Bombyx mori: one gene and its partners. The protein of the gene in region 4 binds, or shares a complex with, the protein of the main gene of each other region. Links are inferred from orthologs where the notes say so. Each region holds a gene or a part of one and is shown on either strand. Other genes may lie near its edges. The genes, in order: general transcription factor IIF subunit 2; DNA-directed RNA polymerases I and III subunit RPAC1; transcription initiation factor IIA subunit 1; DNA-directed RNA polymerases I, II, and III subunit RPABC3; RNA polymerase I-specific transcription initiation factor RRN3; Znrd1; general transcription factor IIH subunit 5.

The links.
Region 1: DNA-directed RNA polymerases I, II, and III subunit RPABC3 (region 4) and general transcription factor IIF subunit 2 share a complex: the UniProt entries of both Homo sapiens proteins name them as parts of the TBP-based Pol II pre-initiation complex. The link is inferred for Bombyx mori from reciprocal best matches to the Homo sapiens genes POLR2H and GTF2F2.
Region 2: DNA-directed RNA polymerases I, II, and III subunit RPABC3 (region 4) and DNA-directed RNA polymerases I and III subunit RPAC1 share a complex: the UniProt entries of both Homo sapiens proteins name them as parts of the pol I pre-initiation complex. The link is inferred for Bombyx mori from reciprocal best matches to the Homo sapiens genes POLR2H and POLR1C.
Region 3: DNA-directed RNA polymerases I, II, and III subunit RPABC3 (region 4) and transcription initiation factor IIA subunit 1 share a complex: the UniProt entries of both Homo sapiens proteins name them as parts of the TBP-based Pol II pre-initiation complex. The link is inferred for Bombyx mori from reciprocal best matches to the Homo sapiens genes POLR2H and GTF2A1.
Region 5: DNA-directed RNA polymerases I, II, and III subunit RPABC3 (region 4) and RNA polymerase I-specific transcription initiation factor RRN3 share a complex: the UniProt entries of both Homo sapiens proteins name them as parts of the pol I pre-initiation complex. The link is inferred for Bombyx mori from reciprocal best matches to the Homo sapiens genes POLR2H and RRN3.
Region 6: DNA-directed RNA polymerases I, II, and III subunit RPABC3 (region 4) and Znrd1 share a complex: the UniProt entries of both Homo sapiens proteins name them as parts of the pol I pre-initiation complex. The link is inferred for Bombyx mori from reciprocal best matches to the Homo sapiens genes POLR2H and POLR1H.
Region 7: DNA-directed RNA polymerases I, II, and III subunit RPABC3 (region 4) and general transcription factor IIH subunit 5 share a complex: the UniProt entries of both Homo sapiens proteins name them as parts of the TBP-based Pol II pre-initiation complex. The link is inferred for Bombyx mori from reciprocal best matches to the Homo sapiens genes POLR2H and GTF2H5.

Annotation. Positions count from the first base shown.
Region 1 is NC_085110.1:12,712,212-12,716,364, forward strand, and holds the start of general transcription factor IIF subunit 2, read right to left. Parts: upstream 2,805-4,153; 5' UTR 2,613-2,804; coding exon 2,336-2,612; intron 2,205-2,335; coding exon 1,993-2,204; intron 601-1,992; coding exon 475-600; intron 1-474. UniProt on the Homo sapiens protein: TFIIF is a general transcription initiation factor that binds to RNA polymerase II and helps to recruit it to the initiation complex in collaboration with TFIIB.
Region 2 is NC_085131.1:5,578,867-5,583,172, forward strand, and holds the start of DNA-directed RNA polymerases I and III subunit RPAC1, read left to right. Parts: upstream 1-1,416; 5' UTR 1,417-2,014; coding exon 2,015-2,068; intron 2,069-2,147; coding exon 2,148-2,448; intron 2,449-2,829; coding exon 2,830-2,949; intron 2,950-3,421; coding exon 3,422-3,604; intron 3,605-3,700; coding exon 3,701-3,928; intron 3,929-4,306. UniProt on the Homo sapiens protein: DNA-dependent RNA polymerase catalyzes the transcription of DNA into RNA using the four ribonucleoside triphosphates as substrates.
Region 3 is NC_085117.1:13,410,866-13,414,957, reverse strand, and holds transcription initiation factor IIA subunit 1, read right to left. Parts: upstream 2,608-4,092; 5' UTR 2,086-2,607; coding exon 1,117-2,085; 3' UTR 604-1,116; downstream 1-603. UniProt on the Homo sapiens protein: TFIIA is a component of the transcription machinery of RNA polymerase II and plays an important role in transcriptional activation. TFIIA in a complex with TBP mediates transcriptional activity.
Region 4 is NC_085130.1:16,021,160-16,025,462, reverse strand, and holds the start of DNA-directed RNA polymerases I, II, and III subunit RPABC3, read left to right. Parts: upstream 1-1,410; 5' UTR 1,411-2,213; coding exon 2,214-2,506; intron 2,507-4,303. Other genes in the region: H/ACA ribonucleoprotein complex subunit 4, read right to left, coding at 1-1,118. UniProt on the Homo sapiens protein: DNA-dependent RNA polymerase catalyzes the transcription of DNA into RNA using the four ribonucleoside triphosphates as substrates.
Region 5 is NC_085116.1:3,278,813-3,283,046, forward strand, and holds the start of RNA polymerase I-specific transcription initiation factor RRN3, read right to left. Parts: upstream 2,862-4,234; 5' UTR 2,294-2,861; coding exon 1,885-2,293; intron 961-1,884; coding exon 861-960; intron 1-860. Other genes in the region: Galpha12 (G protein alpha subunit), read left to right, coding at 3,820-4,234. UniProt on the Homo sapiens protein: Required for efficient transcription initiation by RNA polymerase I (Pol I). Required for the formation of the competent pre-initiation complex (PIC).
Region 6 is NC_085112.1:11,752,516-11,755,478, reverse strand, and holds Znrd1 (transcription-associated zinc ribbon protein), read right to left. Parts: upstream 1,680-2,963; 5' UTR 1,679-1,679; coding exon of another isoform or gene 1,674-1,678; coding exon 1,547-1,673; intron 1,323-1,546; coding exon 1,112-1,322; intron 854-1,111; coding exon 829-853; 3' UTR 538-828; downstream 1-537. UniProt on the Homo sapiens protein: Core component of RNA polymerase I (Pol I), a DNA-dependent RNA polymerase which synthesizes ribosomal RNA precursors using the four ribonucleoside triphosphates as substrates. Can mediate Pol I proofreading of the nascent RNA transcript.
Region 7 is NC_085109.1:11,979,366-11,983,755, reverse strand, and holds the start of general transcription factor IIH subunit 5, read right to left. Parts: upstream 2,894-4,390; 5' UTR 2,767-2,893; coding exon 2,732-2,766; exon of another isoform or gene 2,502-2,731; coding exon of another isoform or gene 2,364-2,501; intron 1,728-2,363; coding exon of another isoform or gene 1,581-1,727; intron 1,463-1,580; coding exon of another isoform or gene 1,357-1,462; intron 843-1,356; coding exon of another isoform or gene 706-842; intron 91-705; coding exon of another isoform or gene 1-90. Other genes in the region: meiotic nuclear division protein 1 homolog, read left to right, coding at 1-90, 706-842, 1,357-1,462, 1,581-1,727, 2,364-2,501. UniProt on the Homo sapiens protein: Component of the general transcription and DNA repair factor IIH (TFIIH) core complex, which is involved in general and transcription-coupled nucleotide excision repair (NER) of damaged DNA and, when complexed to CAK, in RNA transcription by RNA polymerase II.

The DNA of each region.
Region 1 (4,153 bases), on a different chromosome or scaffold from region 4:
CACTAGGACCTCTTGGGAGTCCACACGGGTAGGTACCACCACCCCGCCTATTTCCGCCGTGAAGCAGTAATGCGTTTCGGTTCGAAGGGTGGGGTAGGCGTTGTAACTATACTGAGACCTTAGAACTTATATCTCGAGGTGGGTGGCGCATTTACGTTGTAGATGTCTATGGGCTCCAGTAACCACTTAACATCAGGTGGGCTGTGAGCTCGTCCATTCATCAAAGCAATAAAAAAAAATGCAATTAGATGTGTTTTTTTTTATGAACATCTAATTTTAAATTCAAAGTCACTACTATTCTCAGTTTCAAAGTATGAACAGTATTATCAAAATTAGAATATAATATATACAGTGAAACAGTTTCTTTTGGCCTTTATTTTTTTTATTAAGACAATGATTAAATTTTTTGCTTAATAATGTGTTAATAATTTTATGTTTAGACAAATATAAAATCATCAGAATAGTATTTATTACCTTTTGAAGATCCTTAATATTGTAATACTGATGTTTCTCAAATGCTGCAAACAGCATATTGAGCACTGCTTCTTTATCATCACGAGCCTTTTTCCCTTCAGCCTTCTTCCTTTCTTGGTAGTCAATCTAAATATTTTACGAAATTTTAATATACAAAATTAAAAAAAGCATGATTAACATAATGAAATGAAATAAACTTAATAGAATACAAAAAGTAAAACAACTTAAGAAATTTTAAAACCTGTTGTTATTCATTGTGTCACTTGTGAAAAGTTTTCTGGTTGGTTTAAGAGCTCATAGAAAGTAAAAATATACAGAGCCATTTGTTTTTATTTACTGATGTTTATAATTTAATTTACTATATAGATGAGTGAAGAACCCCGTGGTCCACCCAGTGTAAAGTGGTTACCTCACTAGTCATCATAACATGAATAGCACCAAAAACCTTGAGAAGTCGAAATCTCAATTCTATTGTATGAGGTTTTCCTTCAAACCAATGTGCTTAGTGTGAACTTTTTAACTTCTCGATCAGAGTTGGAACAGCACCCCAAGAAGCAAACGCAGGGGCGCTATTCCAACTTCATACAAATTTGAGTTATTTTTTAAATATAAATAAATATAAATATAAATATTTACTAACAATCACGCCACGTTAACTGGTCCCGTGCTAAGTTCGTAAAGAACTTGTGTTACAAGTACCAGATAACGGAAATAAATATAATATTTTATTATACACATACATATATTTAATGTACACCCATAACCCTGGAAAGACATTTACATTTATCATACAAATATCTTACCTTGGCGGGATTCGAACCCGCGACCTCCTTGTGTAGTGACCATGTCACTTACCACTACACCAGACGGCCGTTTGATCAAGAAGTTAAAAACTCACACTAAGCACACAATGATTTGCTGTAAACATAAGCAGGAGCAATATCTACACACACCCTACTATCTGTACCAATACCACACATATATGAATGCCCACCCATCTTCAGATAAAAGGTGGAAGTACCTATTGTATTTTATACCAGCTCAAGATGCAAATTTTACAGTCTTGGCCATCCCAAGCTACTAAACATTCCCTATTTACCGTTCCACCATTCCAATTATATCAATCACTACTTATGTCCCATTAATTCCTAACCTATGGAGGACTGTTATCAGATAAGTAGCTATCAATAACTACACAATTTATAATTTTTTATATTGATCAATCATGTTTTTATTTTCGAGTTTGTCTAAATGATAACTTTGCTATACAATGGGAGCAGACATTGCTGCAACCTGTATTTTAATACTTCTAGTAGAATTTATATGAAGCATTTCATTCAACAACATATCCAAAGAGTATTGAACTGCATCTGGAGATCTCAGAGCTCTACACATGCTCTATTTAAAACTTTTTAATCATCTCTAGTTTGACTTCCAATGCAGTCAGGGGCATGTTTTAATGATCAGTTGCTGAAAAATACAGTAAATCAATCCTTTAGATTTCAACAGTAAACATACATTATGTGGATGGTCAGATACTGGTTTGAAGTTCTGAACAATCCTGTCAAGCTGTTGCACTTGTCGCTGAGGCATGGATGCTTTCTTTATTGATTCAGATTTAAGCTTATAGTATGTCACATCATCATTTGGTCTGCATTCCAATTTCTGTACAATCCTACCCTCCATGTAAAGGTTTTCTGTCTCTGGTACTACAGAGTCCGTATTTGTCGCTAAAATGGTTATATTATGAATAAACACGATTAATATAATATCGAACTTTAGACATGAAATTAATTTTATCATTGAGTTCACCAGGACATGTTAGGAGGCGTTAAATATAGATAATTATGAGACTACTTACGGGCAATATGCGAAAATACACCTAGAGATTGAGTATTAACGTTTGAAACATCAAGCTTATGTTCTTTTGGTATGCTTTGTTCACCAGGGTCCTTTAAACATAGCACTGCTTCTGACAAGGATAACTGCACTTTAGCTCTCGTTCCTGGTACTCTGGAGATCTTTAGTTTTCCTACCTCAATGTTTCCAGGAGCTTTTTCCCATTTGTTTGCTATATATTTAGGTACTTTTACCAACCATACTCCTCTACCAGTATTTGATAAGTCCAATTCGGTCATTGTTGTGGAATATAAAATCTATTAGCAGTCGATAGCGGACACTATTTTAACGGCCTTTAAAAGTACTAAAGTCGTAAAGATTTCCTTTAACTATAACTAAATCTTAGAAAATTTACTTGCACTTCCACAAAAGACCTACATAAGTGACAGCTCTCGAAAATATTAAGTGTATAATCTATGGTGACAGCTTAACCACAGATTAATATAATAAATACCGTAAAATGGGGCGATTAGGGATTGAGAGGCGAATCGGGAAAAAACCGGGAAAATCTTGCGACGCACAATATTAGTTTTATATTCGTTGCAAAATCTTCCATTTTTTGTAGTTTAATAGTAGAATGTTGAAAGTTCACAAAAAAACTCTGAATATGCATGATAATAGCTGCTAACTTATAAAAAATCGCGTTTCAAATTAACTTCCTGTGTTGGAAATTATTTTAGTGCTAGAAACTTTGCTCTCTTTTATTTATTTGATAATAATAGAAGACGACTGTGATTTATAAACGTTATTTAGTGTTTGAACCATCATATATATTAAAGGTAAGTCTCAGTTGTTATTGGTTTTAATGTATTTGATAAAATAAAAATACATGTAAAAATCTGTTGTTTTGGGGGATATTAGGGACGTCTTAGGTACAAATAACAACGAAAAAGGGGTCAATTGGGATGAGAATACGTGAAATGGAAACCACCTAAGTATAAATAGGTACAGGTTTGTAGGGTTGTCTATGTAGTTATAACAATATTTTTTAAATTTGTTGGTAAAAATCTGGTTTATTCATGATGTCTTTGTCTAGAACTTTTATTTAAAATTATCAATGTGTTATTTTATTGTTTGGTAAATATATTATCAGTTACGTATTGTTTTCTATTTTTAGATATGCCTCGCGTTTACGTATCAAAGAGTGCAAAGCCTTATAAGAGATATGATCCCTTAATATTAAAAACAGCAATAGAAGCCTATGAAATTGGGAATAAGTCTTTACTTGAAATAGCCAAGCAATTTAATATAAGTAAGTCGATTTTGCACAGACATGTAACAAGAACAATGAAATCTCGAGGTGGACAAAAATGTCTAAGTAATACATTATAAAATATTTAATATTTGTTCAGAGTGGGGGTATTCATCTGATTAATCCATGGAATAACCGACATAACTAATCTCTTAACCCAGATAAAAATATCAGCCCCTAAGTACTTACCAAGACCGAAGAAATATAAACCGTTTATAAGAAAGCTCACTCGTTCGAATTTAGGTGCTTACTCTCCCATATACAGAATCCTTTGGGACTACAATAATGTCCACGGTAGCGTGGTCTCCGTCAATGTTCATTCGGAGTTGTCCGATTGCGCTGAACTAATTTTAAGTGATAAAATAGATGTTTTTTTTAATTGTCTCACAACTTACAGGACAAATCTGTCGTGGATCATTTCCCAAGTAAATATAAATTAATCATAAGTAAATAAAACAAATAAATTAAAACCAAGTAGTGCCAACCCTAGCAAATTTCTCATTTCGTCCCAATTAACCGCAATTTCCG
Region 2 (4,306 bases), on a different chromosome or scaffold from region 4:
TTGTTGGAGTTTACTCCTTTAGAATCGATTTACATATATAGGCCCGGGGTATGAAAATTATGGGGACCAAAATCGTACTAGCATGTCACACGAAATGCGTTATGCGCCTGATTGGCTCCTGATTGCGTGATGCGTGCGCGCGCCAATCAGGAGCCAACGCGCGGCCGCGTTATCGCAGGTGACGCCGGGCTGCTGCGCCGGCAGTCCGCCACAAAGCCTCGTACTGATCGCGCGTTTCTCTCATTATTGTATTTTCATATATTTGTTAGTCGTTTGTTTTGTGTCTCGTTAATTTGTTAATAATCTGTAGTGTATCGTGTTGTCGTAATATAGAACTATTTCTCGTATTGTTTCGTTTAATTTTTTATATCCAGTAAACTCCAGTCGTGCGTCGGAGCGGACACACACACTTTTTTCATTTCTTTCTGTTTCGATTTACATAAAACAGACACGACTTCACTTACTGTAACAAAAATTAGGATTGTATGGTCTTTGATCCTTTTGCCCAGCGAGTTGTCAATTCAAACAAGTAAAAACCTCTATTTATTTTCCAATACGGTACGGTACCGTACCGTAAAATGGGGCGATTAGGGACAAATTCCAACTTTATGAGCAATTTTAAGGTAGTTGTTGATGTATATAATGCTATATCAGGATCAAAATGATTGAGTCTTGGGGGCATCTTTGTTGTCTAATTTAAAATTATGCAACTAGCATTCCAGTTTAAGCAAAAAATGCAAAAATAGGTGTAATCTCTATTTACCCGAAAATTGCGGTTAATTGGGATGTAATGAGAAATTTGCTAGGGTTGGCACTATTTTTATTTTTATATATAGTTTTAATTTATTTATTTATTTAGTTGCACCAACAAAGTGATCATCAATAAAAAAAAATGAAAAACTGACAAAAGTACATGGCAGACATCACCTCAATTATAGGTGCAATCGACAGTGCTGATATTTCTATCTGGGTTAAGAGATTAGGTGTGTCGGTTATTCCATGGATTAATCAGATGAATACCCCCACTCTGAACAAATATTAAATATTTTATTATGTATTACTTAGACATTTTTGTCCACCTTGAGATTTCATTGATCTTGTTACATGTCTCTGCAAAATCGACTTACTTATATTAAATTGCTTATCTATTTCAAATAAAGACTTATTCCCAATTTCGCTTCGAATAAACCAGATATTTACCAACAAATTCAAAAAATATTGTTATAACTACATAGACAACCCTACAAACCTGTACCTATTTATACTTAGGTCGTTTCCATTTCACGTATTCTCATCCCAATTGACCCCTTTTTCGTTGTTATTTGTACCTAAGACGTCCCCAATAACCCCAAAAACAACAGATTTTTACATGTATTTTTATTTAATCAAATACATTAAAAGCAATAACAACTGAGACTTACCTTTAATATATATGCTGGTTCAAACACTAAATAACGTTTATAAATCATAGTCGTCTTCTATTATTATCAAATAAATAAAAGAGAGCAAAGTTTCTAGCACTAAAATAATGACCACCACAGGAAGTTAATTTGAAACGCGATTTTTTATAAGTTAGCAGCTATTATCATGCATATTCAGAGTTGTTTTGTGAACTTTCAACATTCTACTATTAAACTACAAAAAATGGAAGATTTTGCAACGAATATAAAACTTATATTGAGCGTCGAAAGATTTTCCCGGTTTTTTCCCGATTCGCCTGTCAATCCCTAATCGCCCCATTTTACCGGTACCGTACCTATGTACCTACATAAGTACAAACTTACATTACTTACTACATAGTCAAAGTTTAAATTACCTACTAAAAATTACTTAAAATCACTACTTAAGTGTATAATCTATGATCACTACCTTACGTAAAATCATCGAAATATTTAATTTTGTCAATTATATCTGTATAAAAATATGCGACAAACTTTATATACAGTAAACGTTACTGTATACCTGTGAAATAAGATAAAACCTTATTTACATTAATTAGTAAAATATTGCAAAAATGCCTAAATTCGATGAAAAACCCCGAGTTTTTCTTGAAGAATTCCGTGTTAAGGTTCTCCTTTAAATTGCAAGACTTATTTACAACGATAAAAATGCACATGATCATAACCTAATAATTTTTGCCCGTACAGAATGCACCCGAAGATTACGGATTAGACGATGAAACATGGGACTTCAAAAAGTTTGTGAAGAAGTTTAAGATAGTTGTAGTACGAATGGACAATTTCGAAATGGAATTTGACTTGATTGGGATCCAGCCAGCATTTGCGAACGCATTCCGGAGACTCATGTTAAGTGAAGTTCCTAGTATGGCTATTGAAAAAGTAATGATCAAGAACAACACTTCTATAATACAGGATGAAGTTTTAGCACACAGATTAGGATTGATTCCTCTCAAAGCTGATCCAAGATTGTTTGAATATAAATCTGAAGGTTTGTGTACAAATTATTACAAAGCCGAGACCATATGTGGGCATTCGTTTTGGAAGATGATTGTTTTCTGTGAAATTGGTTGTCTAATTATTTTTTATTTATCAATTACGTAAACTAGTACACTAATAAAACCACAAATATTCATTTTTCTAGTATCCTAAAATTGACAATTTAGAGCTGGAATGCAAGATGTTATTAAATACTCACTTTTATACCTCAATAAACATTTATATCTCATAATCAGTAAAGTTTTCACAGCCTAAAGGATAAGATGCCTGGTCCATTTTTATTATTGTAACTATGATGAAATAAAAAAAGTTAACAGAAAATAAAAGAATTGTTTGAGCAGCTCTTGTAAATAATTTGAAATTTTATTTTCAGAAGACACGGAAGGAACAGAATTCAACACTTTAGAATTTTCACTAAAAGTAAAATGTACCAATAGCAAGTCACAACCAAAAGATTCATATAGAGCTGAAGATTTGTATGAAAATCATAGTAGTGAGTTTTCTGTATATCAATATAATAATGTGTAACAAACAGCCTATTAATGTTTTTAATATAACAGTAGATCGCAGATCAGCATATGGCCCTGGTATTAAGCTTGCTGCAGTGCATAGATATAGGTGATTCACTCACATTAAGATATGGGATTGAAGTTTCCATTCCATAGCAAAACAGCTATCCTTACAAACTGGATTCCTTTGCAGTAGAAATGGACAAGATAAATTATGACTACCAATACCAAACTTATAGAATGTTACTGCCATTTTCTGGTAAATTTTTTAGCCACCTGTAACAACACCATGGTAAGATATAGAGTGGTATTGTTGTATGCTGATAGGACAGAACACAGAGCTGATTTTTTGAACTATGGACTAATCTATGAAATTTATATTTATAGTTTTTTTATATAATGCTAGATGATTTTGTTATTCTTAATACTTAGTTAATTACAAATATGTTTATACAGTTTATTCATCCCATATGAAGTGGCATCCAATTGGCAACCAAGCTACAGTTTATAAAGAAGCTGATGTGGGTCCTGTACATAAGGATATTCTTATATCAAAAATGAGACCTGGCCATGAAATAGACCTTCAAATGATTGCCGTGAAGGGCATAGGAAAGGATCATGCAAAATTTTCACCTGTTGGTTAGTCCCTTCTTATGAATATTTTATAAAATGAGATAAGCTTATTTTAATTATTAAAAAAAATGGTTTAACTAACATATCCATTTTATTCTACAGCAACAGCTACATACAGATTGCTGCCAGAGGTAACACTGACTCGTGAAGTTTGTGACAGTGAAGCCACACTGTTGCAGAGTTGTTTCTCACCAGGTGTTATTGGTATTGACTCTAAAAACCGAGCATATGTGAAAGATGCAAGATATGATGCATGTAGTCGTAATGTTTATAGATATGACACAATCAAAGATTCAGCAATCCTAAGTAGAGTTCGGGATCATTTCATATGTAAGTAGCCATATGTAAATTAATGAAATCATAAAAATGCCACAAATAATTACATGTGCAACAGTTTTTTTGCTATCAATGCTGGTTACCTCAAGGGGGTCTAGCTTCACCTAACGTGTAGGTAAGCTTACAGGCTCAGTCTGGCGAATTTGCTAACACTAGCCCTAGCAAGGGCAGTGCTTCTCAGAATCTACCACTGGATCGGAATCGCGACCCAGTGAGATGATCTGGTGAGAAACTAAGTGGGCTGTGTCTAAGGTTTAATTTACAAACCCAAAAATCTAAAAAAGTAAAAAAAGCAAAGGCTTATGTTTTCAGAAGTGTTTATATTTGTATCTATGTTGTACATAGGTGTTCCTACACTACTCATCTGATTTC
Region 3 (4,092 bases), on a different chromosome or scaffold from region 4:
TTTAAAATACATGGATAGATTACTAAGCCAGTGAAATAATGAAGAAAAAAAAACAATATTCTAATGTGAATAATAAAAATAATAGGTTGATCATTGTGGACAAGTGCACTCTGTTTTGAAATTTACCATACTTTTTTAAAGCAGCCTAACTGATTTTTTTTACATTAGAAACATGATGACTCTCCTTCTGTAAAAATAGCTTTCATATGAGTTTGTGTGTAGTTATTTTTCCTTTTAAGTCTTAATATTAAGAGTGCAATTTAATTCGTTATTAAAATAAAACCCCCTAAACGTTATCTATAATATTATTATATTAGAAATAATTACATTTTAAAGTATCATGCCCTTGCAGTCCTTGCCCATTGTTGAGATGTAGAAATTTAAAAAAAAACCAAATTAATTGTTTGCTTCTAATAAGGACTATTTGTTTGATATTTAAATTATCTTTGATCTTACATACTCTGTAATAAATATTTTTTTCATTTTTAAAGAGGAAATTTAACTCATTTTTATTAAATTTAAAAGTTGTTTATTTATGCATTATATTTTTTGTTTAAACAAATGAAATTAAGGACATTTTCAATATTATAAAAAAAACATGGGTCATGTGTCACATTTATTGTAATTTTAATAGTGGCATTTAAATTAAAGAGCATCAACTTAAGAGATAACAAAATTATTCACAAACTTCTTTTGTATTGTACATTATTAATACCCAATAAGTCAAGATATGTATCTCGATATTAGAAGCACAAAGTCAAATAAATATCTTTCATTTAGATTTTTTTTTGTGTTTTTTTTTGTAATTATATTAGTAAGTAGTAGTCTCAGTAGTGTACAAAAAACACACTAATGGGAAGTGAGACTGAAGGAGCTTGGTAGAGTTTTTTACTATTGGTAATACTAGTGTCTTAGAAAACTTCAAATCTACCTACTAAAGATTGTTTTTTTTTTTTCATAATTTGTTTAACAATCTTATCGTAATCTTGTTACACAGATATCTGCCATACAGACATCAAATTACATGTCGAAATAACGAAATAATAATTATGAGACCTTAAGCCCTAATTCCGAGATATAACAAATAATTTTCTATAAAATACACACTGTCTATAATCACCATTCCGCATCACCATTAGCCTTTTGGAATACATAATCCTTTCCAGCTAGATTCATGATTCCATCTTTGAGATAGAACTTCCACCTATTGCGACTGCGTGTAATTTTATCATATTGGCAAACAACTACATTATCAGTATCAAACATGTCCCCTGGCTCCTCATCAGATACATCATCACCGGAATTTAGGGGTTCTTCTTCAGCACCACCACTTTCATTTTGTTCTTCTTCTTCTTCTTCTGCCCGCTCTTCGGGAGAATCGTCATCATCATCATCATCTGCTGCACCGTCTTCTGAACCATCACCTACGTTTGAGCCATCATCATCAGAAGAGTCCAAAGCACCATCTAAAGAGAAAGGAGCAGTTCCACTGCGGCCGCCTCCGCCGCTATCAAAATCACTTTTTTGTCCTGCTAAAGCCGAGTTGATATGTTGTTGCAGTAAAGTAGCAGCTAGAGGTTGTGGAAGGCTAATGGTAGCATTTATTATAGGACCTGTTAAGACCTGATGCAGTTTGTTGCCGTTCAGAGCTGATGCTGGAATTTGAATGGTAAATGAACGAGGCTGGGACCCTGGAACTCCAGGTTGAGCAGGTAATGTAAGCTGAACTGGCACTTTATTATTAGGGTCTAGAATATGATGAGTATGCGTTCCAGCTACACTAGATGCTGGTGCACTATGTTCTTGTTGCCCCGAAGTATGTCCCATGTCAGTTCTTTTATGCACTACATTACTACCATTTACTTTTTGGAAATTCTGTAACACTGGAGGAGGTGGCAGCATCGGCTCAGGTTGTAACGGGTCCGTGGCTCCACTGGCTTGAAGCTTTGTCTTCCATAGTTGTTTTAGTTCTTGTAACACTTGTTCGTCTACACCGTCATCTAAGAAAGAATTTCTCACTCCGGATATCACGTCGTCTACCACTATGTTGTAAAGTTTCAATACTGCGAGCTGACTCGTTGTCATTTTGCAATCGAGCTGTAGTTGAAAATTGTTTAACAGTGTAAAATGTTCACAGAACTAGATATTCTTGTTTCTAAATCTGTTTAGTTTAGTTTAGAGCCGATTATTTGTCTTCTGAGTTCACATCGCAACATTTCAATGTCAAATTTCTGGAATTCACACAGTTTGTTAATTCACTAATGTTGATGACCAATTTTATATATTTAAGATAATATGTGGCTAAAGTAGCTTATTTTAACTTTTATGACGTCCATTTACATAAAGAGAGACAAATTTATAAATTCACCATAAAAATTTTGACAATTGATCACTCAAACATAACCTACAAACCGAGGAAATATTTCGTAGCCTTTAAAGAAATAATTGTCTATGGTTCGTTGATTCCGACATTGAACGACGACAAAGATGGCGCATGCGTTATGAGTACGAGAAATAGCACCGCCCCGCACCGCGCCCCGGTTGATTACGTATTGGTGAGTTTGCGCCTTGGGTAGTTGCCTTTAAATTGATTTTACGGTTTGAAAGGAAAGAGCCACCACTTTAAAATTTCAAAACAAAATTGGCATATCTAAAATTTATTGTTATAACATTGAATGATGAAATTTAAAAATATAGAATTTTCACAAAAAACGGTATTCATTCAAAAAAATTCGTTACAAGCCAATTTTAATGAAATTCATTTCTACTTAAACCATTGTTAAATAATATTGACTAAATAATATTTATATTTTATTTATATTAAACTATTGCACTGTTGAGTACAAGCAACGCAACACTCAATTTTATCTTGTACTATGAAAACTTAAAGACTTCATTCTTAATAAAACCGCATAATAGGACGTTTATGAAACAAGAGTAACTATAAACTTAATTGTTATTTTAGATAGATTTTTCAGTTTTTCAGTGGTTGTAAAAAATGTTGATTAAAATTGGTGGCATAGACAATAATTGAATTTTAGTATTTTTGTGGCGGGAAATCCAAATGTTGGAAAGAACTTTTCGTCTTTGTCGAAGCTTTTCATTTTTTTTGTAACGAATGACGTTGAAGTTTTTATATTTAAAATAGGGGCTTAAACTTATATAGTTGAAAAGGTAGTGTATAATAATATGCTTTCGTTATTAATTTGACATCAATCATCATCAATTCATTTGACTCAATACATTTCTTTCTGTGACAGATTTTTAAAGCACGACAATTGGTAAGAAGGTATTCTAATGGAACATTCTTATATATTCTGACTTCAATATAATATTAAAAATTTATAAATATCAAAATATGAGGGTTACAGTACTCATTTACCTCAATTTTCTTTTAGTAAATATTGTAACGAACAAAATCGATACCAATGCCGAATGAAACACGGTTTTTTCAGTTTATCAAATCAAACTTCTCTTGATAACACAATACAGCACATTTACCGTAAATTAATTAAAGGTAAATTAAAAGCACAGCTAGTTATTTCGGGGAAATAACGTCATCTGTCAGTGATTGGTGTGTATCTGTATAGTCCGCGGTCGACGCGGTCTAGTGGGGACCGTGTTGGTTTGTTCGTCGGCTAGCTATTTGCAGCAGATCGATACGTTCCAGAATATCATTACTCGCTCACCTGAAGTCTAAATTAACGTAGGATCAAACTAAAATTTGTTTACTATTCACTATGTGTTCGCTATTAATGTAGAATTTTGGTTTTATGGCAGTTCAAAAACCATCTCTTGTCGAAATTTGCAACATTTCGAAAGTTTCTGTTTTTAATGATTTAATATACATTATTATTTTTTTAAATATTTAATAAGTAAAATTTTCCAACTATGTACAAGTTAGCAAAATTATTTGGGTCAATGATAATAGAAATTTATGTTAACTACAATTAAAATTACAATGCTAACTAAGAATACCGTTATACCTAATTTACATTGCTATTAATAACTGTGTTATATCAATCAAGGATAAGTACTAGAATTTTTAAGTGTCATAAATTGTATAATTAATAACTTTTTAAGTTGGTAAAG
Region 4 (4,303 bases):
TCTCGTTCCATTATGACACGCTTGAGTTTCGCGGCTACACCATGATCGCATGAGGCCATCGTAGACGTGGTCATCAGAGCAACGGCCAACGCTACTGCCTCACCTTTAGTGGTGACTATTACGATTTCTTGGTCAACTTCGATGCCGTCTTCGTATCTTAAAATACCTGGTAACAGCACTTTGGCTCCGTAGCAAACAGCATTAACAGCGCTGTCTTTGATAAATATCCTTTTGTGAGCAATCAGGAGGCCTTCCAGAGGTTTGATTACTCGACGAAGATAAGTCTCGTCTTTGTGGTTTTCATACGACCATTGTGCATCTAGGATGTCGTGCATCGTGACCATGCCTTCCTTCTCGCCCTGAATGCCGGACCGTACTCGTCTGAGTTCGATCATCTGACCTCCGACGCCAAGCATCAGACCTAAATGCACACACATCGTCCGGATATACGATCCAGCCTCGCAACTAACCCAGAACACCCCAATATTCTTGTCCTGGTCGAAATCCAGGAGTTTACTGTCGTACACCGTCCTGACACGCAGTTGTCGCTTCACGGCCGATATAAGCGGGGGCCTCTGGAATAGAGCTCCACGCAGCTTCTCCAAGCCCTGTGTGACTTTTTGAATATTCTCTACGGCTGAATGCAAGTTGAAAACGGCTACATACTCTTTGCCAGCGTTCTGTTGTGATTTGACGAGTCTCGTGGCGCGGTCTATGCAAACGATAAGGCAACCCGTAACTTTCGGATCGAGCGTGCCCGAATGACCAGTCTTTTCGACTTTTAAAATACGTTTTATCCATGAAACTACTTCGTGGGAGCTGGGGTTGCTCGGTTTGTCGACGTTGATGAAGCCAGATTTGACGTAATCAGAGATGGGGCGTTTTAAAGGCGAGTTGCCGAATGGTAGCGGCGTGTAATGGTTAGTGCGCACATTTAAGCGATCGAAGTTTTTCAACAACAAAGGCCAGTAAGCGGTGTCCAGCTTCTTCACGCTCTCCGAAGGTTCGATTTTGAAGTCGCCAATTGTCTGAAAAGCTCCCAACGAAACACCATCCTTGTTTTTTTTCTTTTTCTTCTCTGAAAGTGTGTCGTTACCGGGCTGCAGTACCTCCGTCATTTTGATGAATTAACACGTATCTTTTCTTACTCTTAATTTTAGGCGATCGACGCAATCACTTGGGTAAACAATGCCCTATAATCGGGCACTGTTTATTGAAAGAACTTTGAAAATATAACACAATGCTCGGCCATATAGCACGTGCGATTCGGTTGAGGTTAGCTTCAGATTTGTTTGCGTATGATTATGGTCAGATGGCGCCAACGTGCAAAGCTCGTTGTGCCAACATTAAAACAGAAAATAATTCGGATACTTGTTAATTTTTTTAACCTTAAAGCAGAACATAAACATGTAATATTTTTATTGGACTGAAGTTTTATACTTTTTCGTTTATTATTGATAATTTTAATAATATTTTGTTAGTTTTTGACACTTAAAAACAAAAACGATTTCCAAAAAATGCCACGAAATATCGTAGTCACTACTTACACTAAAAATATTAAAGAGAAAATGGAACTTAAACGTAGACCGAAATATACATTTATTCAACTCCTAAATTTCGTACATTGTCTTGGCCTATTTATCATTAGATAGGCAAAGAGAACTAAAACTATGCCGCCGAATTTTTGTAACAAAAAACTATATTATTATCGACAAGGAACGTACAATGGAATAATTTAAAGACAGAACCCAATCCCCTCAAAATCTTAACCGTCCAACAGAAATCCATCAATTTCATAGTTGGGAATTTGCTTAAAGTCCAACAGAGATTATGGTAGACCCAAAAAAATAAAAACTATTTAACATCTTGTCCTTCCACCAAATCCTTATCAACTTCTTTCACTCTCACTTTAAATAGGAACTAACTAGTAAAAACAAATCTAAGTAGTCCAAATATATAATATAGGTAAAATGGGATTCTTTTTTTCAGTGTGAGATATTCCGTCAAAGTATCCAAATATTCAGTACCTATACTTCAAAAAAAAGTCACACTTGACATTGACATTTATTATCAATGTTTTTTTTACATAGACCTATATAGTATTTTTAGTGCCGTAAAATTTCAAACAGCAACAGAGTCAGCGTGCTTCTTTCTCATACTGTCCGTTGTTGATATTGTTTTAGTAAAATAAATTCACAGGATAAAACTTGATCATGGCGGGCGTGCTATTCGAGGACATTTTCAACGTCAAAGACATGGATCCGGAGGGCAAAAAGTTCGACAGAGTCAGCCGATTGCATTGCGAATCGGAGTCATTCAAAATGGATTTAATATTGGACATTAATTCTTGGATATATCCAATGCAACTAGGCGAAAAGTTTCGTCTAGTTTTGGCCACGACGTTGAGGGAAAACGGATACCCTGACGGCGGAGAATGGAACCCTCTGGAAACCGAAGGAAATCGAGCAGATAGTTTCGAATATGTCATGTCCGGAAAAGTATACAGGTTAGTTCTAACATAAAGGTGTTGTAGCGGCAGGTATCGTACAACAGAAGATATTTTACAGATGCAGTTAGCAATTATACAATTTCCTAACGATCATATTCGGAACGTCGAACTACCGAGCAAAATCATGTCCTCAGTGGAAATCTTTCCTTATAATGAAGCTACCTGTCACATTAGCTCCTCAATTTGATGTTGAAGTGGATGAGAGCCGAAAACGGCTCAGTGGTGTGGATTGGGAGACGCCCATGCCCAGCAGGGGACGCCTTGGGCTAATGATGATGGTGATGGTGATGATGATGAACACTTGTAATATCTATGTGGTTATAAAGTCTATATAAACCAATTTAACAGTATTATGAGTTTTGTACATAGGCAGAGTGGCACCTTCCTACAATATGAGGTACCACCACCACCTGGAATCAAATAAATCATAAATTTTGTGGGTTTCGTCATCATCGTCAGCCCACAAACGTCAGAACACAGACCTTTCCCATGACTCACCTCAATGGCTGGTCCTGTGGAGCCTGCATCCAGCAGATTCCTGTGACCTTTAGCAGGATATCAGAAAACCGAACAGAGCTGCCCACTCTCCCGGTGTACTATGGCCATTTGTGATCAATTTAAAAACTCACAAAATTTATCCATTTGTGATATTTCATTGCCTACCATTCATACTTACCTATGCGATTTGAACACTGGCAAATTTCATCCCTTAGTATGAGAATACAGTGTTCGATTTGTGATTTGATGTACCCACCAGATATGAAAATCTACAGATAGCCAATAGGACTAAAAGCAACTCCTAATTTGAAATAGCTGCCAAATGATTAATTAGTTCTCAATTACAAATTTAACGCAAACTCAACTGGGTTACGTTTAGTTAAGGTTATGTTTAGTTAAGCAAAAACAATGATATACTGTTTGTGTTACTATTTATGCTCCTGTATCAAAAATTAAATATATTCTTGTCCCTGAAGTAGTCTGGCTGATATCAGTGGAAAAGTATTCCATTGGAACTACTGCAAAGTAATCATTGTTGGACTAATAATTGTTGTATTTAATGCAATTGAGTGTACAGTGAAAGCTCTTCAGAAACCGTGAATATGGAATGGTAATTTATATATATCGGATTATAGAGGATACATTCCTAGGTGACATAGTAAAAAAAGTCTTTAGGCATAGTTGTGATAAGGTCTATTTTACTTTTTTATTTGTCCATTTGATGACAAATTTTCAAAATATGTTCAGTTCTATACCTACATATTGGAGTCCTTTTTATCAATGTGTCGAACCCGTCGCTTGCGATGAAGGGCTCGACGAGCAAATTAACCCATAGACACAGCCCACTGAGTTTCTCGCCGGATCTTCTCAGCCTGTCGTGTTTCCGATCCGGTGGTAGATTCTGCGTAGCACTGCTCTTGCTAGGGCCAGTGTTAGCAGCACTCCGGTTTGAGCCCCGTGAGCTCACTACACGTTAGGGGGAAGCTGATATAGCCTCTCAAGGCTATCAGCATAGGAAAGAATAAAAAAATTAAGCAATTTTTTTTTTTATTGCTTAGGTTTGTGGACGAGCCCACAGCCCACCTGGTGTTAAGTGGTTACTGGAGCCCATAGACATCTACAATATAAATGCGCCACATACCTTGAGATATAAGTTCTATATTCTCAGTATAGTTACAACGGCTGCCCCACCCTTCAAACCGAAACGCATTACTGCTTCACGGCAGAAATAACCGGGGCGGTGGTACCTACCCGTGCGGACTTACAAGAGGTCCTACCACCAGTAATAGAGGTCCT
Region 5 (4,234 bases), on a different chromosome or scaffold from region 4:
AAGCTGTGGACGCCTACAAAACGGCCATTTTGGAGACCCCAACTTCCGAATGGAATGGTTGCTTCAATGATTGGTTCCATCGTATGGAAAAATGTGTCAAATTTCGCGGAGAATACTTCGAAAAGCAATAAATACATTTTTAAATAGTAATGTTGTGTCACTTCGTTAATTCCCGAAATTTTCAGTGCCGCCTATGTATTGATTGATGTAGGTGCAAAATCACACAACATAGTTTCCAGAGTCATTTATAAAGCCAGATAGAACTCTGTGCACCTGGTTATTTTAAGAGAACAATTTCAGTCTCTCATTGACCCATTTATTATTAAGTATTATATTAAAATTTTTGAGTGTGTCACAGAAGGCTCAAATATGATCTCATCAGCTAATGTTTTGTAAGTAGTATGGTGGGTCCCATAAACTTTTTAAACATCTATGTGATGATCTTGTGGTATTCAAACATTTTTAGTTAGCTGCAGAAGACAGTTCCCAAAAAGGGAACTGTTTTAGTATAATGAGATCTGACCAATTAAATATCTCATCCAACCTTTGTAGGTTGTCAAATATATCATCAATATGCTTCATGAAGCATTTTGATATATTAGCCTATATCCACTCACTTAAGAGTAAATACTGGGGCTAAATCAATACACATACTCAAATAATTAAATTCCCAAACCACTCTAATTCAAATTGTTGAAGATTTCTGTAAATATTTTATAAATTTTTATGTATCGTGACACATATAGGGCGCTTCATTAGAAAATAGTCCTGACATTACTTAAATTGTTAGATAGATATAAACATCCACAAACAATGTAATATGAAGCATAACCTTAAAGAAAGTTACGTAAAATACTTACATCGGCATTATTGCGATAATTTGTCCTATGATTGTATGAATGTTAGACCAGCTATTCAATTTCTCTGTTGGTGGAGTGTCATCCCAGTTTTCTTCATTAGCTAAAAATATCATAGTCATCATCAAATATATCTCTAACTAATGTTATGAAAATTATTATTAGATTAAGTAAGTCTGCCTAAAAAGGCAATATTTTTTTTTAAATATTATCTTGGATACTTCAACTTGTGACTGCTGGTTTGGAATCCTGCAGGCTGGTAACAATTTTTCTGATGGAATACTACTTACTTAACTAATGTTCACAAATGACTTCCACAGTGAAGTTGTGTAATAAAAATCAAACCCGTAAAAGTTTTAATTTCCTTAATTACTATCAGTAGAGAAACTTGTAAGCATGCGTGGGTAGGTACCACCACTTGCCTGCCTATTCCTGTCGTAAAGCAGTAATGTATTTTGATTGAAGGGTGGGGTAGTTGATGTACTGTAAAAACTAAGTCTTAGAACTCAGGTTTCAGGGTGGGTGGTAGCATTAACATTCTGTATGTCTATAAGCTTCAGTGAACACTCAACACCAGGTGGGCTGTGAGCTCATCCACCTATCTAAGCATTATAATAAAAGTAACGGACTAATAGCATGATAATAATATAATTCAGTTTTATACAATACAATATTTCAGTAGTTATATTAGTAAGAATATGAAATAAAAGAAAATCTCAAATCTTAAATGTTACTAGATTTCTGAAAGAGTACTTGTATTGACTTTTATGTGTTAAATTCTTTCACAATATTTCACAATGTTTTTATTAGTATTTACTGATTATTCGTTCATATAAATATATATTTTATATGTTCATTTCTATTTTCTTTGTCTTTTAACAATTTTATATTTAATATTACAATTATAGAATAATATAATGTAATAGCATAATTTATGACATCTTCATAATTCCTACAAACCAATGAATCGTAAGTGGCTATCATTGTCCAGGTATACTAGAACTACCACTGTGTGTTGCTAACTTACCTTTAAAAACCTTAACCAGACAGCTCATCACTTGCGGACAATGGTAAATATGTGCAGTGACTAGGCTAATGATGAAGGTGCTGAAAAGGTTGACTAACTTTTCACACCTACTAGCCCACTCAACATTGCACACTGCTTCTACAAACTGCTTGAAATCCTGTCCCATAATCAGAACGCAAGAGAGACAATCTTCGAGAATAATCCGAAAATTCTCATCATTTAATGGGTAATCTCTCAAAACTCTGACTAATTCCGAGTAAGGTCCAATGTTTCCTGTTTTAGCATAATTAAGAAGTATCTGTTCTATTTGTTTTTCGGAGAATTTCAATCTAGTACGAGCTAAAGCCGCTTGGCGATCCAGAGTTTTTTGCATCAAGGACGCGACGCTTTTCCTAGCCGCTACCGCCATTACTTCTTCAAGTCTTTCGTGATTGCCTTTAAAAACTCTGTTACGTCTGGTTGCCGAAGCAATTCTGCTTTTTTGTAGTTCAGTACTTCGCGTAAAATATTACTACTATCTTCTATGTTCGGGACAGTATTTGTGTTCGGATCGTAGCTCGTACTTGGTTTGCTGTACCCGGCGCTCGTGTCGGAAACGTCAGTGTTTTTCTTGTCTTTCAAATAAGACTGTAATCGCTCTAAAACAGCCTTGTTGTCACTTTCTTTCTTTTCTGGGCTATAACCTTCTCTCGACATAGCTTAACGGTAACTCTAAGTTTTACATTGTGTACAATGTTGCTGATGTTTTATTGATTAATATTTATGATGAATTAACGGAAAATGTACACGTACGTTCAAATTAAACCACCTAAACCTAATTCTTCACCTCAGTTCCTTTTATGAACACGTGCGCAACGTGCGCGGAACTTTTTGACTTTCTATTTGACACGCCGAAATTTGTCATTTTGGTTTGATTTTTCTATCTTCAAAAGGCAAAGAATAAAATGACTATACGTTAGTCTTTTCTTTTGAAAGACTCGAACCAAGTCTTTTTCGAAAGAAAGCATAATTAATTTTGTGGCTTGAAGAATTAGACGCCTAATAAAATCGTATTAAGCGCTGCCACCATGTTAGTGTCTAAATACTGCACATATTAGTTGAGGTATTGGTCTCTATTAAAACTTTTTATTTTTAGATTTATTGTCTATTTCGATGAGAGCCCTTTTGCGTTTTGTCATTAAACTATCGACAGCACTTATTTTCTGTGTATAGTTTTAATGTTATAAATAAGTTAGTTCTGACTTCAATAATTAATGTCATCAGTTTGAGCTTGAGCTGATTTATCGATTTAATGTTTTAAAAAAAATTGTATTATTGCAATGAAAAGTTTTATTTTCCCAATTTAGGAATGAAACTCGTATAAAAACTCCGTAGATAATACACATGGTAAAAAATTACTCCGATCTGGCCAATCGACTCCTATTTTAGATTAATTAAACTTTGTCTATTATTTTCCCCTAAGTAGAAACACTGAGTTAAAAAGTTACAAATCTATTGAACGTACGAACGATCGAATTTTTTTGATAGTATTATAAATATTAGATTATTCATATAAACTCCGCTTTATTTTGTCTGTCAATACTTATTGAATTCAATAGAGATACAACATATATAAATAAGAATATAAGAGAATACAGTAGAGATGAATGTTGTGTCTGCATTACAGATTACGAATGTGATTTGATGTTAGACTGCATGTACGGTACCTACCTACTTGAATTTTTGACGTTTGTCGTTTATCTGTGACTTTTCATTTCTCAATGAAATTGGGAGGGGTGGAATGCGTGTGTATTTCGGAATTCCGGATTTAATCTTCATTTTGTATTATCATTATCAGTGTGTGTGTTGTGTTGGAAAACTTTAAAATAATGAACTGTACAAATAAAGTGTGATTTGATTTGTTTCCTTTTTTAATTGTCTTGATAATCATGCAAAATGGCCAACGATTTGTGGTCATGTACCTGCTGTACAGAGGCTCTGACTTGTTGGCTGCGTCTGAAGCTATCGCCGGAGGAGATAGAGCAACGATATAGGAGTAAAGAGATCGACAGAATACTCGAGAAAGATAAGCAAACTTTGCGGCGGCAGGTGAAGCTGTTGTTACTCGGCGCGGGTGAAAGCGGAAAGTCAACATTCCTCAAACAGATGAGAATCATACACAAAGTGAAATTCGAACCGGAACTCGTGCGGGAGTACCAGCATGTGATATATCAGAACATTGTCAAAGGCATACAGGTGTTAGTGGACGCAAGAGACAAACTCGCGATACCATGGGAGAATCCGCGGAATTTGGATATCGGCCAGCAAGCACTGCACTTCAACAGCACGGCGTCGCTCGACAGCCGACTCT
Region 6 (2,963 bases), on a different chromosome or scaffold from region 4:
AAATCTCATTTTAAAACATCATTCACAACGGACACTGTTGCCAATACTACGATTATTTTTCTTCATTGTATGGTTACGCTAGCTCACAGCCCACTTGATGTTGTTGTGGTCTATAGGATACGATGCCGGTTTACAAGTATCAAGCGATTGTGCTGGTGTTAGTATCAAGGGATAAGGCCTTAGGAGGCAGGTAAAAATTTTCCTTAATAAATATGTATGTATTACAGAATCCAGTGACTTCTACTATGGAAGATTAGCAGTGTGTACTTTTGTTATACAGGCATATTATGCTTACTGTAGGAAACTAATATGGCCGAGCTTGTTCTACATAGAATTATTTCTGAGTAGTGTATTATAAGTTTATCAAAAATTGTCAAATGTAAATCTTCTACACTAAGATCCAAATAAACTTGTTGCATAAAACTCTTCAATATTGCTATGGTTTTAGAAACATGGAAATAAAACCTTTTGAAAAAGAAACTTTCATTGAACTTATTATTTAAAAATAGAAATGTATTTCTCAGCATAAAAAAAACATTTGGACAAATGTTTATAATTTCAATTATTCAGATTTGATTCTATTACATGTAATTTTTAAAACATGGTTTTTAAGATTAATCAGTATAGAATTTACAGTTTAAAAGTTATCATTCCAAGAAATGGAATTAAAATTACGCACCAGTTACATGGTGATTAATTTTAATCCTTATTAAATTTACCTAATTTAAAACAATCAGTAAAACTGATTTTTGCATAAAGTGATTCTGATACAATGATTCTATTGCCGAGTTTTCCTTTGACAACCTTAAAACTAGTATAAAGCAGCCTTTAGGAGTTTTCAGTTTCCTTGTATCTGAAAATAAATAATACTTTACGATATTATCTTGTACGATGTGTTCTTTTTTAAATTAGGAAATAATTTTATTTTTGAGATAGTAGTTGCTTACAAGATCATTATTATGTCCAGTTTTATATTACCAAGGAAATTTGGCCACAAGTTGCAATTATTTTCCTGTCTTAGGCTAGTGGTAGGGTCCAATTTTATTTAATACAAGTACAGATATTGATGACTTGCTCATCGAAATACAAATAAATATTGTAATTTACATACTTGCACTTTATACATGTGTAGAAAACTGTTTGTCCTTCATCGGCCGATCGTAACTGTAGAGTTGCATATGACATTCTGTCGTAACCGCATTTAGCGCATTTTCTCTCCACAACTGGACCCTCAGGACCATCAGTATGTAGTATATTCTCATTTGTGATCACAGATATAGTATTGAAATGTATTGTGTATTGAAATTTCATTTTACTATAATCTGTAAAAAAAGAATTTCTGAATAAAACATTTTTTTAAGTTTTTATTTTATATTTCGAAAACAAATACAACAGGTTCTTTCTGGATTTCATAAGTATCACTAAAGTTTTTTTATTTATTATAAATTTAATAGTGAATATTCGAAAATTATACAAAAGCATAACGCTGAAAAATCGTATCCCGTTTATATGAAAGTAATTTTTTCATTGGCAACTATATACTTACTATCAGCCTCATAATGTGCTTTACAAGTGTAGCATTTCACGGAGCCAAACTCTTGTAGCAAGGGTAATATGGACCCACAGCGAGCACAAAACGCTGTACTAGTTGATAACGGGCTTTCAGTGGACATTATTTCTAAAAGTAAACACAATTATCACTAAAAGGGTTGTGTATTTTTGTTTAGAATATTAGGTTATTTTAAATCTTTATCTATTAGTACTAAACATAACCAAAATATATTTTTAAACCAATATGAAGCATACTATATATTTTTGTGAAGGGTTTTAGACAGTTTTAGTGTATACATACCCTAAGTATTTGCTATACAAAAACCTATTTTTTTTTTACTATAATGATAAATTCATTACTTACGTACAATTTTTTTTAACTGTTTGACAATTGACAAAGGAAACATAGCCCATACTGATAGTATTAGATCACTTGTAACTAAAATTTGAAAAGATGAAGTTCAGTAACTGTTTCTTTTTCTTACCTAAGCTCATAGCCTTGAGAGGCTATGTTAGCGTCACCTAACAAGTAGGTGAGCTCACGGGACTCAAACCTGATGACGTTGCTAACGCTAACCCTAGCAAGAGCAGTGCTTCTCTGAATCTACCAGCGGATCGGAATCGCGACCTACTGAGAAGATCCGGCCAGAAACTCAGTGGGTTGTGTCTGTGGGTTAATTTACTCGCCGAGCCCTTTGTCGCAAGCGACGGTTTCGACGAGAACGATGACTGGTGATTTGAAGTGCTTAAAAGCACCGTTAGTGGATCGGGAGGATACGAAATGACGTGCTGTAATTAAAATAATGAAGATTGCACTTCTACGTTTTAGTTTTGGTGGACTTTTTGTCTCTCTACCACAGTCTGTGACAATGCCTACAGAACTACAGAACGCTCCCAGTAGCTGTAGATATAACCACTACAGTCTACTACAGCTCATTTTTAGCTCTTGCTCTTTACACTATTACTAACTCCACTCTATAAACGAAATTATAAACGCAATTCTTCAATAGTGGATCTCTAAAATCAGTCATCTTCATTGTTTCTCATATATAGATTAGTAGGTATTTAGGAAATATGTTGACAACTGTCGTCGTTGCGGATTAAACTCAAACTGCAGTATAGGAAGCATTTATTTATTCCACACGCACCTTAAAATCGTATACATTAACAATCAATTGATTTTTATCTTTGAACCTTTTAAAAACGTAAAACACATTTTTTTATATCATGACATTTTTCCCTCAAACTGACAGCCTGTCTTTTGAAGTGAAAACTTCTTTAGAATCGTTGTGATTTCAAACCGGATGCAACGGATAAAACGACAGGTAAGAGACACAAATACAAAAATGTGTAGGATGAAGCCAGCAAAGAATGAGACAGAAATATACATACTATTTAATACAGCGCCATCT
Region 7 (4,390 bases), on a different chromosome or scaffold from region 4:
ATGTCCAAGAAACGAGGTCTTAGTGCTGATGAAAAGAAGACCAGAATGCTTGAAATATTCCATCAAAGTCAAGATTTTTTTCAATTAAAGGTAACCTCATTAAATTACAACTTCATACATAGCTTTCGATGTCACTCTGCCCTAAACGATAAGATGCCAGATGTACTCATATTAAACAGTATTATTATAGCAATGTTTAAACCCAGCGGTTAGGTGCCAATTTTAGTAATGAACTTTGTAATTAAACATGTTTATAAATGACTTTCACAATAAATAATTAATGAAATCTGATAATACTGATGGGTGGCACATACATTGTGATGTCTGTTGACTCCAGTAACCTAATCACATACACCAGGGGTGGGTATTAAGCTCTTCCACTCAACTAAGCAATAAAATATATCTCTTATTTAGGATAAATGAGACAGTGTGAAATAGTGTCTGGAGTTTCTTACTTACTAGCAATGCAAGGTCGTTTTTTAATTAATTGAGAGCAAAGTAATAATAAATGAAGTTTTCACGAATGTTTACTCATCATTTGACTTACTTGGTAGGAGTCCAATTTCTTATTTGTTGGTGATCATGTTAGTTGAGTCACCAAATAGTCAATAATTAGTTCAAAAGAAAATGTTTAGACAGCACATAAAACAGAAGTGGCCATAACAAAATCTATTAAGATAATATTTTATATTTTAACTTTTACAGGAACTAGAAAAAATAGCACCAAAAGAAAAGGGTATTACAATGCAATCAGTTAAAGAAGTGATTCAGAGTCTAATTGATGATCACCTGGTTGATTCTGAAAAAATTGGGACTTCAGTGTACTTTTGGTCTTTCCCAAGGTACTATGTTAAACAACTAACTAAATAACTGGGAACAGAACAGTACATTATCATCTGGCGTCAAATCTGGCCTATTTCTGCCATTAAGCAGTTATTTATTTCGGTTTGAAGGGTGTTAGGTCATCATGCTGTTACAACTGAGACCTTAGAAATCTTGTCTCAAGGCAGGTGGCAGCATTTATGTTGTAATGTCTATGGGCTTCGGTTACCATGTAAAACCAGGTGGACTCATGTAAGCAGTAAAGCTGAATGAATAAATTTTTGCCCAATATGGGAATCGAATCCACAACTTTCGGCAGTCAGGGGTGCCAACTTTTGCACCACCGAGTCAGTCATTGACTAAGACTAGTTTTATTATTTTGAATAATAAAATTTACATGGACTTTACACACTGATGCTATGAGAAATTAAGAGTAAACAATTGTGCTTTTTAAAAATTTATGACTGCAAAATTATTTTTCAAATCAAGCAAGCTGTGGTAATGCCATGCAAACATTAAATAAATTACTTGTAGCAAAGCAAAAAGTACCAAGAAGAGGAAGCTACAAGAACTCCAGAATGAATTTGATGAATGTACGAAGAAGTTAAAGAAAACTGAGGAAGTCCTTATAGCAGAATCGGTCAGAATATTTATAGTTTTTTACTTAGTATAGTATAGTCTATAGAGTTATAATGAAACTTAATTCTATTCTATATTTATCAGAGACTGATATATTTATTAATTGACTTTAATATTAGAAAGGCAGAGAGATATCTGAAGAAAGAATAAAAATATTATCATCTTTAGAAGATCTTCAAAAGCAAGAGGCTTCATATAAGAGAGAATTACAAAAATACAGAGAATCTGATCCTGAATATATTGCACAACTGAGACGTGAAATAACTGTAAATCCAATTCTTATATTAATGTAGATGAGATGATGTCTTAAGGTCTATATTCCATTCAAGCTCATATTAGCGCCCCACTGTGAGCGCAATAGATAAGGCCAATGTCCCAAGTTTAAGGATTTAGTAATTGATGAATCAGTTCATGGCCTTTCTATAGTAGTATAGTATTTAGTGTTTCTGAAGTGTTAAGTAAGTTACTGAAGTTGATAGGTATCACAATGTGACTTCTGCTACCCACTTTAATATTGCACACATTAGATCAGTTACTATTATATTTCATAAAGGCCAAGTGAACTGATCAAACTGGAATGTGTATATTTTTTTTGGCAGATGTAGGCAGAATGACAAAACTGTATGAGCTTACAACTGGTAATGACTTTTAAGTCTAACATGTCTATTTCATGCTAGAAAATATATATTTTATTATTTGGTGGGTAATATTACTCAATATAACTTATCAGTATATTAATTAAGCATTGTATTCATTATTTAAAAATAAGGAAAACAAAGTACATTTAAAAAAATACTATGTTTTGATAAATAGCTTTCTGTAGGTGGTAGTATGTATAACCAAAGACATAACTATAATATTATCAAATAATAATATTGGATTAAAAATGTTTCATTTTGTAGGAATTGAAAACAGCCAGCAACAGATGGACAGAAAATGTATATATATTGAAATCTTATATAAAAAATAGTTTTCAAATAGATATTGATGCACTAGAAGAAAATTTTAACATACCTAAAGATATGGATTACATTGAATGAAGTTTTATATACAAGGCATTCCTCATAACCTAGGCCCAGAACATTAAATTTAAGTATGGGAAAAACCAAAGAAGAAATTCTTTGGCAAGTTAATATATTGTACGTAGTAAATTGATTAACTGATGTAATTTAAAATTCAAATCATTAAAGCACATTGTAACGATTCTAACTTTATCTGTAAGTTTGCATATGTAAAAGTAATATTTGTGAGAAATAAAAATAATAAATACCATTCAACGAGGACACCTTTCATTACATTCACCATGGTTCATTGTTTTAGAACTTGTCACTTTATGTAATAATTAATTGTAAATAAAGTATGTAGGTACCTATTTACTCCCTACTTTCAGTAGATACCATAGGTTATACAGAATACTATTACTATTATAAACTATTATTCATAGACTATACACTTAATATCTATTATTTATGGGTAAGTGTGGAAGGCTCATTACACTTTGCTAAATTTAGTCGGTGTAATAGCATTCAGTAAGTTAACCTGCTAAATTCAGTAGCAAGGATGGTTTCTGACTGACTAAATCATTTAGAAGCCTAATTAGAAACGCATATAAGAAGGTGTAATCGCATTTAGTTACTTAATGATTTCAGTCGTCCCATAGCTCTCCGTGCGTAAGGACGGCTTAGTTTGTTTTTTACTTCCGAATAAAAAGTATTTATTTCGCTCACCTTTATTAAATGTGCCAAACATTTATAAATAGCCCAACTTGTTTCAGGGATAATTTTTGTCAGAAGGGGTTGGGATATTATAAAGAACTAAAAATTAAATCTTGATACGAATTTCCTGTTGCAAGAAATCTTAATGTTACAACCAATCTTTCTTTTGGACTTATACTATCGTAGGATTAGATATGTAATAGTTATATAATATAGATATATAATAGACTATAGTAGTATCGTAGGATAGTATCCTGCTTTTGAAAAAAATTGTGCCACAAGGCTTAATATTTGGTCAAACGACCTCGAATCCATTCGTAGATCATTTCTGAAGTCTGCTGGTTCTAAATCATTCTTTTTTTTTTTTTTTTTTTTTTTTTTTTTTCCTGCCTAAGCTGAGAGCCTTGAGAGGCTATATCAGCGTAACCCTAACTTTTGTAGGTGAGCTCACGGGGCTCAAACCTGACGATGTTGCTAACACGAACCCTAGCAAGAGCCGTGCTTCGCAGAATCTACCACCGGATCGGAAACGCGACCCACTGAGAAGATCCGGCGAGAAACTCAGTGGGCTGTGTCTAAGAGTTAATTTACTCGTCGAGCCCTTCGTCGCAAGCGACGGGTTCGACGAGAACGGTGACCGGTGCTTGAAGTACCTAAAAGCACCGTTAGTGGATCGGGAGGATCCGAGATGACGTGTTTTGGGCGACGTCGACTGCTTTCCATTCTGTCCGCAGGATCGGGAATGTAGTTACCGGCGGCCACGATGAGAGGGTTCTCGTGTCGTGCCGCTTTATCGAAGTGGCGCATTGACGCCGACTGCATATACTTACTGGTGGACTCGAAGTCCAGGTCGTCATGGAGGTCGACGTTCCTGACGAACCACGGGGCTCCGACGGCTATCCTGCAAAAACGGGATTGAATGACTTGGAATGATTTCAAGTGTATGCGGGCCGCGTGAGCGAACACTACACTTGCATAGGTCATGACGGGGCGTATGCAAGTTTTGTAGAGTGTCACCTTATTTCTAAGGGACATTTTACTTCTCCTACATATCATCGGATAGATAAATCACTCATAATGTTCATATTTGCTAACTTTCCGCGCAGCAATATATATTTCTTCGCCCATACTCTTCATTTTTTTTTTTTTTCAATTGAGCCGACAGCGAGGTCTGCGCCTAGACCAATTTTTTGTTGTTTAGATAATACTGGGGC